Linked DNA regions of Mus musculus. The protein of the gene in region 3 purifies or fractionates together with the protein of the main gene of each other region. This does not show direct contact. Links are inferred from orthologs where the notes say so. Each region holds a gene or a part of one and is shown on either strand. Other genes may lie near its edges.

Region 1 (4,392 bases), on a different chromosome or scaffold from region 3:
TACCTCAGGCAGGCCTATAACTTAGAATTATACCCATGTGCCATCACACCCAGCTCATTCTATTTTTATTCTATTTACTTATTTATTTATTGTGTGTGGATATGCATGTCTACAACAGTGTACATGTGTAGATCAAAAGACAACTTGCAGGAGTCAATGCTTTCTAGTTCTGGAGACTGAATTCATGTTCTTAGGCTTGGAAGCAAGTGCCTTACCATGCGAAGCCACCTTGCCAACCCTCAGTCTATTTTAGAATCTGTTCAAAACACCTTAGCCACAGAGCACATGCCTACTATGCTGAGGCCCTGGGTTTGAACCACCTCCAGTGCTGAAAAAATTAAAATCAATGCCTATAAGCCCCCATTATGTAGCAATTCAAGACTCTTCTCACTGGACATTTAGATTTTTAAAATGGAATTTTAACATAAAAAAACCTGCAAATAAAAAACATGAGATTTTGAGACAGCAAGCCCACATCTGGAAGGTCAATATTCATATATGGAACCTAGCCCTTTCAAGTGATTTTAAAACTAGCTTCTTTTTACCACTGGTCACAAATTCTTCCTTGTATATTAGTTTCATTTGACCCTAATTATAGGCTCACTATACAAAAAAAAGACAAAAAAAAAAAATCAATATACTTTTAAGGTATGTGCCCATATTCCTATAGAAAAAGTACATGCCAGGCTGGTGAGATGGCTCACTTGGTAAGAGCACCCGACTGCTCTTCCAAAGGTCTGAAGTTCAAATCCCAGCAACCACATGGTGGCTCACAACCGTCCGTAATGAGATCTGATTCCCTCTTCTGGAGTGTTTGAAGACAGCTACAGTGTACTTACATATAATAAAAATAAATAAATCTTTTAAAAAAATTACAAAAAAAAGGTACATGCCTACCTAAAGGTAGTCTAGTGAAGGAAGTGCCTTGATTCTGGAGCCAACCGGTTTTGGTTGGTTGAGCCCTAGTTTGTAAGCTATGAGATCGCCAGTAGTGAGCGCTTGAGCACCGTGCTTAAAATTCTCATCCCCTTTCCTCACTGGTAAATCTCTGAATCGCAACAGTAGTTCTGTTATGAGGCTTAAACTCTTCAGATGTGTCAGGTTCTATTATTCTAAGTGCTCCATAAATATCAGTAATTATGCCAAATCTTACAAATATTCAAGAAAATCACTTAATGCATCAAGCCATAATAGCTTTTAATTTGTTATGTATGTAATCTTTCCTATTAAGTTTGAAAATAATGTATTGATCTAGAGTCCAGAGATGTTGGTCATGGAATGGCAAAATAGTCATCGTTTCCTATACACAGTATTACACAATATTCTCTCCTCTCAACACACCTCTACGATAGAAACCATCTTAAGTTTTGAACAACCACTTGCCGCCTCACCCTCGGCCTAACCAATTAGGTATTTATGTTCTGTGTGTAAAATAACATTAACAATACCTAGAAATTTAACATGGTACTTAAATCTACACAAAATAGAAGTTGGCAGAAACCCTTACTTAGTCACTTCAGGAAGCCACTGAACGGTAAGACTGGGCCACTGAAGAGCATGGGTCATAACCAGGTCATACAGAAACGGTGTATTCTTCTTCCAGATTTTATACTCTTCGTTGATGACACGCTCCTCCACAGTATCTTCAAACACTGAAATTTGGAGAAAGCCCACAATTAAGTGGCTGAGAAGGCTCGGAGTCAAAGGCATGGCTACGGATCCTGGAGGTCACCTCGAGACGGCCACACCTTATCTATTCTTTCCTTTTACCTATCCTGCTCACACGAACTGCTCTCCCACAAAGTGAGAAGATCAACATCAGGAAGCGTTTTCGCCTCCACTTCCAAGATCGGGATTCCGGCGCTTACCCGAATTGGGTCATTAATTGCCCTACCACCGAGCTCGTCAGCCTTTTTATAGCCGCTCGCACCTGTTCTACGATGATCCGCATTGTAAACCGGTGCCCCGACCCACTCGAATAGATCCAATCCACGTGGAACAGCAGCAGCCCACAGGCCTGCTCCCTCCACCCCCCACCCTCGCAGGAGGCCCCAGCTCCCCACCAAGCCACGATCGGCAGCCATAGTCCGGCGGGATCCAGCTCCTCCCCCCCCTCCCGACACGGACACGGGCCGCGACCCCAGACGGACGACGACCACGCGCACGGAAGAATCCGCGCCCGCCGCTGACTTCTCGGGCCGCGAGCGCCTGCGCCCCCGAGCCAAGGGCGTCGGAGGGAGCTAGGCCGCGGGGTGGGGGTGGGGGTGGGGGAAGGGGGGCCTCTCTCTCGGCCCCCGCGCCCGGCTCCGGAAATGCTCCCGGCCCTCGGCGGCGACCAGGCCCCGTGTCGCGCAGGCCCCCTTGCAGGCGCGCGGCGAGTCTCGCGCCCAGCCCCGCCCCCTGCTCCTCACGCCAATTCGCGCCTTTCGTCAGCGCGTGCCGAGGCCTCGGGAGCCCGCCAGCCCCCCGGAGTCCCGGCGCCCGCACGCCCGCCCGCCCCACAGGGCAGGCATCCTTACTCTCTTTACTCGCCATCTTGCGTCGGGTCGTTTCGCCCCCCTTGGCCGCCTCGGACTTCTCTCTCGCTAGTCAAGAGCAGCCCGGCAGGCGCTCCTTGCCTCTCCCAGGCACGTCACGCAGTCCTCGCTCGGAAAAGCCTGAGTTCGGTCTGGCCGTCTGGGTTCTCCCCCCAGACGCCGCGATCTCCTCTTCTGCCTCCTCCCCGCTGGCGGGTAGCGAGGTCTGAGCCGCTCTCCTCTCTCTCCCTCTCGCCAAACTTGGAACGAGACTTTTCAACCCGCGCCTCTCAGCCCGCCCAGGCAGCTGAGCGCAGGCGCAGCCGCCCTGGGAAATTGGAGAGGCGGAGAAGAGGCGGGCCTGGGAGCCAACGGCTCGGCGGCTTGGACCAATAGCGTGCGACGGGAGGGTCTGACGCGCTCTCCGGGGGTGGGCTTCTCGAGAGTGGGTGGGGCGTTCCGCGGCAGGAAGTCGGCGAGGCGCAGGCGCGAGGCGTCACTCCCCAGGCTGGCCGCGGGGGCGGCTGGGCCCGCGCGGGGGTGGGGCGGATGCGAGCGCGGTGTGCAGGCTGCGCGGGGGCTGCGAGCCCCAGGGCCAAGAAGCCTGGGGCCCGCGGGGCGTGGTTGCTTAAAGCAGCAGCCGCGGCGGCGGCGGCGGCGGCGGGGGTGTGCGAGGGGGGCAGGGAAGCTGCAGCCGCCTTAGCAAAGCAAAATCTCAGAGCCAGTGAGGAAAATGGTTTCCTGGTCTCGAGAGATTACACTGCCCGCAAAGTCTCCCAGATAATCACGGCCACGCAGTTTTCTGCACCCCTCAAAGGCTCCCCCATTCAACTGTATCGAGGGCCCAGTCGAGCTCTGGTGACATTTGTCATAAGCGAAAGGGACCTTTAGGAGAGACCTTGGGCGGGTTTTTCTTTTTTCTCCCAGAAGCTGGGCAGACCTTTATTTAAGGCCTGCGATGGCGCAGGCCTTCAATCCGCCCCTCGTCGAAAGTTGACTTAAATGACTTTTTGTATGTTCACCTTTGTGCGTCCTTAACCTACTGGTTCTTTAGCTTCCTGCTGCTGCAGGGGATTTTGTGCCTGCCACTGCTTCCCTATCTCAGTTCCTGCCTAGGCCCCTGCTGAGTCATTCTTGTCACCTGAAGGGGTCCCATTTTGACCCTGCAGCTGGCTGCTGAACTGGAGAGAGCTGGGCTGGGCTAATCTAGGCCTGCATACCTGAGCTCTGCATTTCTCTGAAGCTTTTTAGCCTTGGGGGGGGGGGTGAAGAGAAAGCCACATGATCCCAGGGAGAAAAAGAGGGCCAGAGCAGAGGGGCCCAGGCGCCTACGCTTAAAGGGAACCACAGTCTACATCTAAACTCAGAGGCTCTCCTTGCAGAAACACCCCCGGAACATTTGTTCCCTTGATAGCTTTCCAAGTGCCTTCATGCTTAAACGCAACCATGCAGAGGCCTCGAGGATGCTCTCTTTTCTGATCGAGAAACCAACTCAGACGTTACTCTAGTATGTGACAGAAACAGTCACGTTCCCTTATATAGAAATTTACTGTCTTGGGTCTCTTGTTTTCCCATGTGGTACAATTCATTATTATAACGCCCTCCCTCCATGTCAGCTCCAAGAATCTTGCTGGTGACTAACGCTGAAGAGGTGGCTGGAGGCGGGAGGGGGGCGGTTAGAAGAGTGGAGTAGCATGGGTCCTCCGAGTTCTAGAACACTGGTGGTCAAACTTTTTTTTTTTGACAGGGGTCAGGCAGCCTTCGGTGTTGTAACACAACAGCCATAGAAAATATGGATAAGCCTGGCCATCTTCCAGCAAAACTATAGACACTGAAATCTGAACTCTGTGTACTTTTCACAGGTCACAAAATATTC
Region 2 (4,119 bases), about 9.8 Mb from region 3:
GTGCTTTATTTAGACCTGGTCTGGTTGGAAGCTTGAAGTGTCTTTTGTATCTTCTAAGTGTATTTACTTGTAATTGGTACAAATCAACCTAGAAAAAAAAAATAGATGAGTTAGTTCACTCTGTTGAAAAGATATCATTGATCTGTATTATGACACTTCACACAATGACTTCATTTACACACTCAGACCTGTACTTTATTAAACAGTTCCATCTTTGGGGGATACATATTGTAAACTTCCGGAGAAACAAAAGAGGAAGTTGTATGTCAAGAGCTGTAAGAATGTCGTCTGAGATTTAATATTAGTATAAATACATCTTCACTGACTGTATATAACTTTTGAGATTTTTCAGATGCTTTAAACAGTTAAAGAAGAGCTCAAATATTTACAGAATGGTGTTGGGATTGCCAGCATGCTTATGATTTACATATAACATGGGGAAAAGCCTGCCATCTACCTCTGGAGTGTCGATGTCCTGAACAGGCGAGTCTCCCCCATCATCATCGCTTCCTTTCCTCTTCCTTCTGTTCCGAACGCTCTGAATTAAGTTCTTATGATAGTCACAAATGTAAAGATGCCTTGCCTGTAAAGGAAAAATTTTCAAAGACTGTGAGTCCAGAAAAACTGCAGCTAAGTATTAGTAAAATGCATAGGCCCAGGTGGCTGACTAAAAATCATCTTAACAGGCCACTGTTCAGAAGATGCAATGTTTCTTTCCACTATTAAAATGTTGTAACATTAGCAATCTGGCGATACTGTTAAGGAAATGGGGGAGGGGAGGAATTGGAAGCGGTGGGCGGGCGGGTAGTATCTTGGAGAAGGCAGGCAGGCAGGAAAGGAAGAAAAATTCCAATTCTCTGGGTCTTGTCATCAAATTGCAGGGAAGGTGACCTAAATAAGTTAGCTCCTGCTGATTTTAACTTAAAAGGGAGAGGTGGCATTGCCCACAAATTTGTCCTTGTATTTTCTCTAGCTTGAGAGCAGCATTATATTACTCGTAGGTACATGCTTTCTGATTGATCTGTTAGATAGTGAAATTCTACAGGTACAAAGTATGCATTTCTTTACAAATGCAACATTGAATTCATATCCTATGTTTAAATTTGAACCCTAAGGTTTCTTTTTAAGGATTAAGCGAATATATTTCTCTGTATTTTGTGTTTTCAATTAAAGCAAATTATTCATGTTCTCTTGCAAAGTTTCTCATGGACCCTACTGAGAAACCTGCCTAAACAGAATCACAAATAAACTTTTCAAAAAAATTAATTACTCGGGGATTTGAGAGCTGTATATACAGTGGACTAGGAAATACTGAGCTGATTGACACTCTCCCCCCCCCCCCTTTTAAGGCTACAATTAAAGGCCGAATGAACAGGCTTTTAAATTGACTTCTAAGCTAAGGGTAAGTTAAAAATATACAGGATGTCTGGAGGTTCTGTATCTTGTTCTTCCTTTGCCATCAGTCAGAGCTCTGAAAAGTAGCAATGGAATTCTCTGAAACCTCATAGCTGGCCAAAACAGCAGACGTGCATAAAGACAGAAAAAGAAATCCCGATGGCTGCCGAGAGGGCTGTAAAACCGCAGAGGCTTATTTGCAGCCTTGGTTCGGAGCAGCTGCCCGAAGAGCTGACACCGCAAACAACGTTTACAATCATCTATCTCCCTGTAAGGCAACTGGTGAGCTCAGCTTGCTTGTCTGTGTTCAAGAGAAAGAGAACAACGAGGAGGAAAGAAAAAAAGAAAAGACAAAAAGGAAAAAAAGAGAGAGAGAGAGAATTGTGGGGTCCAGCCAGACTCTACTTTCCCTAGAGGAGCGAAGCTGCTCCCTAGGGCAGACACCGGCTCTGGCAGCAAAACAAAGGCGCCTCCATTCCAGAAGGGACTGCCCGGCTGCGAGAAAACTACTCCGGGCCCTCGGTGCTGCGGTCCCCTTTGTTTCGTTTCCAGATCGCAGCAAAGGAGGAAGAGGGAAGCCTGGCGTGGGAGACACGCGAGGCAGCGGGAGTCCGGGCGAGGGGCGGAGGAGCCCCGCACCACTGCGCGAGCGCGCGCTGGGGAAGGTGGCCGGAGTTGCAGGGACTTTGTTTCAATCAGAGAACCACTAATCCCACCTGCAACCCAATCCCCGAGACTCGTGAACCCCGCCAACCATCCGGCGAGGCACGCAGGATAGGGCAGGGCGGTCCCTGGGCCACTTACACTCTTATCCAGCTCGATCTTCACCTTCTTCTGAGAGATGCTCTTCTGGATCCTTTTGCTGAAGCTGGCGTTGCCTGCCGCGCGCCCGCACCGCTCACCGTCCTCCCGCAAACAACAGAGTTGCCCAGGGCCGGGACCGGCCGCTCCAGGTGGCCCAGAAGCTGACACTGCACCGGCACCGGGTACCTCTGCCCCACCGCCGGCTGCGTTCCCATTCCCCGCCGAGGCGGCGGCAGCCGCAGCAGCGACCACCGCGGCCACGGCGGCGGCCGCGTCCCCGCCTCGGCTCATCTCCTCCGGAGTGAAGCCGTTCATGTCTGCCAGTTCGGGGGCGCCGGCGCCGCTACAGAGCCCCGCTCGCCGCGCCGCTCCGCCTCCTTCCCCTGGGCGGCCGTTCACTCCGCACCCCAAGTCTGGTGGCGGCACGGTCCGACGCCCAGAGTCCAGGGCCGGCCGGTCTGTCGGTGCTGGAATAGCTACCAGGTCCTGTGACTGTGATCAGGAGTGAAGTGGCGCCTAGAAAGGAGACCCCACTCACTGTCACATGGAGACTTCAGCAGTTGGACCGCAGCTCCTCCGCCTCCTTCTCAACCCCAGAACCTGCGCGAGGGAGACGCCCCTCCTCTGGCCCCGCCCCACACCTGCCGCGCGGCCCCACGGGAATGGTAGTTCTTGATCGAGGAGCTAACTTGCGCTCTGTTCTGATTACGTGCGGGACCAGCGGGACAAACTACTCATCCCAGCATGCGTCGCGTGGCGAGCCACCCCTAGTTTTTTTTTTTTTCCATTCCAAGCACCGGGCAAGTCTGACTGTGAGGTCAGGCTTTTACCGTGTTTTCTCGCCTCTATTCTCTCCTGCGAGCAAGGGCTGGTTTTAGCTCCTCTTGTTTCGCAAAGTTAGTGTTCAGACCGCCAGCTGACTCCTGGGAAGAAGCATTAATGGTGTGTGTGTGTGGGGGGGTGGGGGGTGGGGGGGGGTAGTAAGAATTAAGTGAGAAAAAGTTTACGGGCTGTTTGGTATTTATTGAAAGAAAACTCGGGATACCTAGCGCTCTTTAGGCGGAGAGTCCTTCATCTCCATCTCCATACCGCAGCTGACTTCTAGAGCGTGGCAGGTCCTTGGCATACTCGTGTGCCGACGGGTTGGCAGGCATCGGGCTGCTTGTCGCCTCTACTGCCACTTGGATTCCTTTCAAACGGATCTAAGAGGGTTTAAGACCATTTAAAGGAAGCACACTAGTATCACGTCTGCAGACTACTCATCAAAACTTAGCCCTGGCTGTAGGGGACGAGGATCGAGAAACCTCTTTTCTTGAGTCATATGCATGCGTACATGTGTGCTTGTGTGTGCCGCGGGTGTGTGTGTGGGGGGGGGGGGGGTTGCGCGCGTGCGCGCCTGGGTACGTGTTTGTGCTCGCGTAATGTGTATTTTTGCCTGTGCCTGTGGTGGGCGGGGTGGAAGAATGGGCGTGGCCATGCCAACCCTGAACCTCTGATAATTATTAGACTTAAGCTTAAGCAAAAATAATTTATTTCAAGTGGAAGAGTTTTGAGAAAGCCTGTTTTAGATTCAACCAATTCAGTGACGATTATATATATATATATATATAATCGTCACAGAGGTCATGAAAAACTTAGGCCCAAGCTTTCACACCTTTAATCCAAAGAGACAAAGCCAAGCAGATTTCATTGTTCAAGACCAGCTTGGAACAGAGCAAGTTCCAAATAGAGAAAAGTTTAAATCCAGTCATGGTAGAACATGCCTTTAATGCCAGCATTAATGATACAGAGCCACACATATCTCTGAGTTCAAGGTCAATATTCAGAGCAAGTTCCAGGACAGCTAAGCTTAGGCTGGGAAGGAGTTGGAAAACATAAAGTTGGTAATAGAATAAGAAGGGGCCACATTCCAGCCTCAGC
Region 3 (4,380 bases):
TCAAAGGCTAAGATTTCTCTAGAAAATTATGAATGAAATGCTGAGGAGACAATGAAGGCTTCCTATAGCCATATCCTGCAATAAATATTTAAACCAGTTGTGCTTTTTCTTTGTTTCTCTACTTAATGAACCATGCAATAATTTCTGAAAGGCACAGTAACATTAGACCCCCATACTAGAAAATACTTAAGAATCAGTGAATATAAAATCTGGACCAAGAAAACAAAAATATATAAAGCTTCTAACAAAAATAAAACTGTGAAGTTGAGCTTAGCAACTCTGTGCCTATGCAGAAGCTAGACCACGATTTGTGTATTAATCTTGGAATTAATCTCAATCATAATGGAGCTGGTTTGCATTAACCTCTCAGTCTTGTAAGATCTACTATTCATGTTACCTGAACAGTTTATGACAATTACAGGTAACTGGTATCACAGATTTCCCTGTCAAAAAATTATGTCACTACCAATCTAAAAGTCTAAGCTTTGCGCTTTTAAAGAAAAAAAACTACATATTTTGGCACAGAATTCTCATGCTAGGTTGCCATTCATGTATGTTCCCTATGTCTGCAGAAAATACCACAGAATGATTTTCATTTTTTGAAAGGGTGAACTTGTAGGGCCTTTACCTATCCTGTGTGAGTCCTAACTTCAATCTCTTGGGATTGAGAGGAGTCACAGTTTTAAAACGGTTTTAAAAGCAGACAGCTTTGAAATAAAATATTCTCCACCAATTAACTGAATTCATTATACCATCCCTATAAATTTTGTCTATAAAAGTAGATTTTTACCTCATAAGTCTTTGAATCTGGTGAAAACACTGTTATACTATAAACAGTGAGAGACTTAGAAAACAAGTTTGTCGATTGAAAACACCTAAGTGCTCTTACATGCTAAGTCACCATGGGGTGTATTACAGGATTAAGTTACAGGACTGGGGATGGTCTGGGGAAACAGAATGACTCCAAGTTGTTTTTATGGTCCATATTAGGTCTACACAGTTTCTTGACTAGGGGTTACTAAAGGCTGAACGTATCCCCATTTAAATTTCTCCTGTCCTAGCAGGAGAAAGGTATGACAATCCCTGAAGATATTCCCTGTCCTAGTTTCTTTGATGACAAGAAAAAGCTTTTCTCCTCATTTAAACTTGGTGGAGGAGGAACCCAAGGGTGCAAAGACGCCAGGTGGTTGCCCAGCCAACGAACCCACTTCCTCCAGAAGTCCGGAAGTGACACATGGCCCGGAACCTACGCTGAGCCAGGGTCAGAGACAGTCCCCCACGGCGGTGTCCGCGTCTTGATTCACTAACCGGGGTGGGGGGGGGGGCTAGGGAGAGATTTGAAATATCTCTCCCAACACCCAACACTGACTCCGCCCAGGCCCACCGACCGTCCCGCCCAGCAATGGGTTCAGTCCACCCCAGGACCCTTCCGAGCAGCCCGCCGTGGCCGACTCCCGCGGGAGCGCGCGCCCCGCCCATACGACGTCACACCTGCAGGCCCCGCCCCTAGGCCGGACCCTCCCCGCCACACACTCACACACACACGCACACACACACACGGACGCACACACATACACAACACACACACCCCTTCTCCGTCTCGCCCTGCGGGGGAACCCCTCCCCCTTTAACCATTTGGCAGTAGCCGAAGAAGGGCTGAGTGAGACACCGGGCGGCCCGGAACTTTCCCCGGGGCGAGAGGGAAGCACAGACCGTCCCAGTCCCGCGCCACGCCGGGAGCTGGAGGGGGGTGGGGGTGGGGGGAGAGGCATCTCCCGAGTCCACCTCCGCCGTCCTCTCGCCCCCTCCCCCCCATACGTTCCAATGCATCTGCTCGCAGACGGAGGGAGCCCCAGCAGGCAAGGGGCTAAGCAGGCCCAGCACCCCGGTCCAGCCCCGCAACCCTGCTCGTTGCACACTCTCCAGCCCCGGGCAGGACAGTGTGCGGCACCCAACCGGCAGGCACCGGAACAAATGCTCGCTTAAAAATGGCTGATTCCCGTCCGCGGCAGCTGCAGCCAGCCGCCGGAGCTGCAACGGGGGCTGACGGACGGGCGGTCCTCGGAAGTCCTCGTCAGCCGCAGCCGGGACAGGGAGGGCCGCGAGTGTGCTGTGCCGTCCCCCCACCCAGACACACACACACACACACACAACCGCTTCCCGGCCCCACACACCAGATCGCTCGGTGCACTCGGCGCACACTGTCACCCGAAAGAAGGGAAAGTACCTTGGTATTTGTTGTCCAGCTCCCGCAGCACCGACACGTTCCTCTGCATGTCGTGGGGCAGCGACTCCACACACTCCAGGTAGTCCTGCACGTAGCAGGAGAGCAGCCGGCTCCGCTCTCCGGTCAGGAGCGCGGCCGACGAGTACAGCTGCTGCTGCTGCTGCTGCCCTAACATCCTGCCGCCGCCACCACCACCACCGCCGCCGCCGCCGCTGCTGCTGCTCCTCGCCGCCGCCGCCGCCGCCGCCTCCGCATCCAGCAGCCACACATGCAACAGCCACGACCGCCGCTCCTCCGCTCGGCAGCCCGGCGCCGCGGGGACACGGCCGCCGCTCGAGAGGGCACCGCCGAGTCCCCCGATCTCCACTCCCCCAAGAAGAAGCCCTTACTCCCCGCCCCCGCGGTAACAAGCCCAGGGGCGGGGCGAGACCGGGGCTCCCTCCGGCCCCCTCCCTCTCTAGGAGAGCGAGCAGCGGGGTTCCCCGCGGCCGATGGCGCCGGGGCTCCCAGGCAGCGACGCTGGCTGTCCCCCCCGGGGACTCCCCAGACACTACCGGGGCTGCCCGGTCGCCCGGATCCCCGTGACAAGCCCCTCGCTACCCTCTCGCCTCTCTATCAGCCTCCGTGCCTGTCGGAGTCTCACAGGACTAGTCCCCGCCCCTTGGCCAGCGACCGCATCTGCGCCTGCGCAGCACTCACTCCTAATAAGGCTGGGGCCCCGCCCCTATCGTCCTACCGAAGAGTTCGCATTCTCCCGCCTTCCCTGCGCCACCCGGGCGATTGGTCTGTCAGCTCTCGCCTGGGGGCGGGGGGAGGGTGCGGAGGCCGGCCAAACGGCAGGCCGCGCCCCGCCCCCTCTTAAAGGGACCGCATGGCTGAGCCTGCCCCCTTCGACCGAAGTCCTGACGGTTGCCCCCGAGAGGCCGGGCGACCGCTCTCTTCGTTTCTGTTCCCCTACAGGGATAGGAAGCGCCGGCTCGGCTCGCTCGGCCCCGAGTTACCGACCTTGCCTCCATCTGGCGGATCCAGCGCCTCCCTCGCGAGCCTCCAAGACAGCAGCGAGCGGCCCCTGGGCGCCGCTGGCCGAGTGAGGCCTGAGGGGGAACTAAGGCGACCCAGGGTGCAGCGGGCGCGGCTCCGGGCATGCGCGGCGACTTCCCGCCGAGCGCCCCGCGGCCACGGTCCCGGAGCACCGGGGCGGACCGCGGAGGTAGGCGGTGCGCCCTCTGCCCTTTTAAATGCGGACTCCCCGCCTTGCGTGCGGCCCCTCCACCCCCCAGCGCCGGGGTGGCTCTCAGGGTCTGCTCCCCCTCCTCGCGCTTAAGAGTTTGGTTTAGGGAGGTGGCAAGGCTGCACGCCGCCCCGGTCCCCAGTCCCAAACCATCTTAAGGAAACTGTTGTCAGATGTCGAATCGCCTAGGCATCACCCGCCAGCGAGGACACACAGTCCTCACTGTCTTTTCACTCGGCTTCACCACTAGCCAGCAGGGGATCAGTGCAGATGGGATTAGAAATCGGATCAACCACCGAGTGCGGTGCTTTCCGTGTGAGGGATTATCCGCCTTACTCCCCCAGTACCATCAGTGAAATGCCGGTAGGAGGAGCTCACTGTAATTACGGATAGACTTCCGGAATGTATATAAATATGTGAGCTGTTTTGGTTTTGGTTCTCCCCCCCCCCCCCAACCGAAATAGGTATAAGAAAGAGTAGTCGCTTAATTCAGATGAGATGCCCAATGGGAGCGGCGTCTTTGAATGAGAAGAGAGAAAACGCCAGAGTGCTAAGTTTGGGTGCTCTTGCCCGGTTTGCAGCGCTATACCTGTTGCCCGGCCTGTTCAGCACACTTTCATACAGTGGGGTATATTAAGCAGCTGTTGGGATGCCAAGGGAAACCTAGGTCCTGGTCTAGATGAAAATTTGGATTTCGACAAAACACAACGCGGAATTCGGCGTCCTGAGGACAAGGGCTATATTGGAAGGCCTGGGAACTAATGTGTTAATGTACTTTAACGCTGAGATTTTGATCAGTGGAGTATTAAGCCAACCGAGGCAAGCACAGTATTTATTGAATTTCTGAGAACGTGGGACGAATTTTCTTTCCATTATTTAATATTAAAGAGCCAGGTCTTGTTGAAAATAACCATTGTTAAGG

Evidence for each region.
Region 1: the proteins of Ing2 (region 3) and Rbbp7 purify together in Homo sapiens (affinity purification with mass spectrometry; 3 studies listed by BioGRID and IntAct, counting the BioPlex papers as one, with this or other methods). This does not show direct contact. The link is inferred for Mus musculus from reciprocal best matches to the Homo sapiens genes ING2 and RBBP7.
Region 2: the proteins of Ing2 (region 3) and Sap30 purify together in Homo sapiens (affinity purification with mass spectrometry; 3 studies listed by BioGRID and IntAct, counting the BioPlex papers as one, with this or other methods). This does not show direct contact. The link is inferred for Mus musculus from reciprocal best matches to the Homo sapiens genes ING2 and SAP30.

Annotation. Positions count from the first base shown.
Region 1 is NC_000086.7:162,758,835-162,763,226, reverse strand, and holds the start of Rbbp7 (histone-binding protein RBBP7), read right to left. Parts: upstream 2,856-4,392; 5' UTR 2,536-2,855; coding exon 2,520-2,535; intron 2,379-2,519; exon of another isoform or gene 2,064-2,378; intron 1,653-2,063; coding exon 1,508-1,652; intron 1-1,507. UniProt on the Homo sapiens protein: Core histone-binding subunit that may target chromatin remodeling factors, histone acetyltransferases and histone deacetylases to their histone substrates in a manner that is regulated by nucleosomal DNA.
Region 2 is NC_000074.6:57,485,053-57,489,171, forward strand, and holds the start of Sap30 (histone deacetylase complex subunit SAP30), read right to left. Parts: upstream 2,809-4,119; 5' UTR 2,515-2,808; coding exon 2,200-2,514; intron 584-2,199; coding exon 458-583; intron 89-457; coding exon 1-88. UniProt on the Homo sapiens protein: Involved in the functional recruitment of the Sin3-histone deacetylase complex (HDAC) to a specific subset of N-CoR corepressor complexes. Capable of transcription repression by N-CoR.
Region 3 is NC_000074.6:47,672,279-47,676,658, forward strand, and holds the start of Ing2 (inhibitor of growth protein 2), read right to left. Parts: upstream 2,882-4,380; 5' UTR 2,403-2,881; coding exon 2,228-2,402; intron 1-2,227. UniProt on the Homo sapiens protein: Seems to be involved in p53/TP53 activation and p53/TP53-dependent apoptotic pathways, probably by enhancing acetylation of p53/TP53. Component of a mSin3A-like corepressor complex, which is probably involved in deacetylation of nucleosomal histones.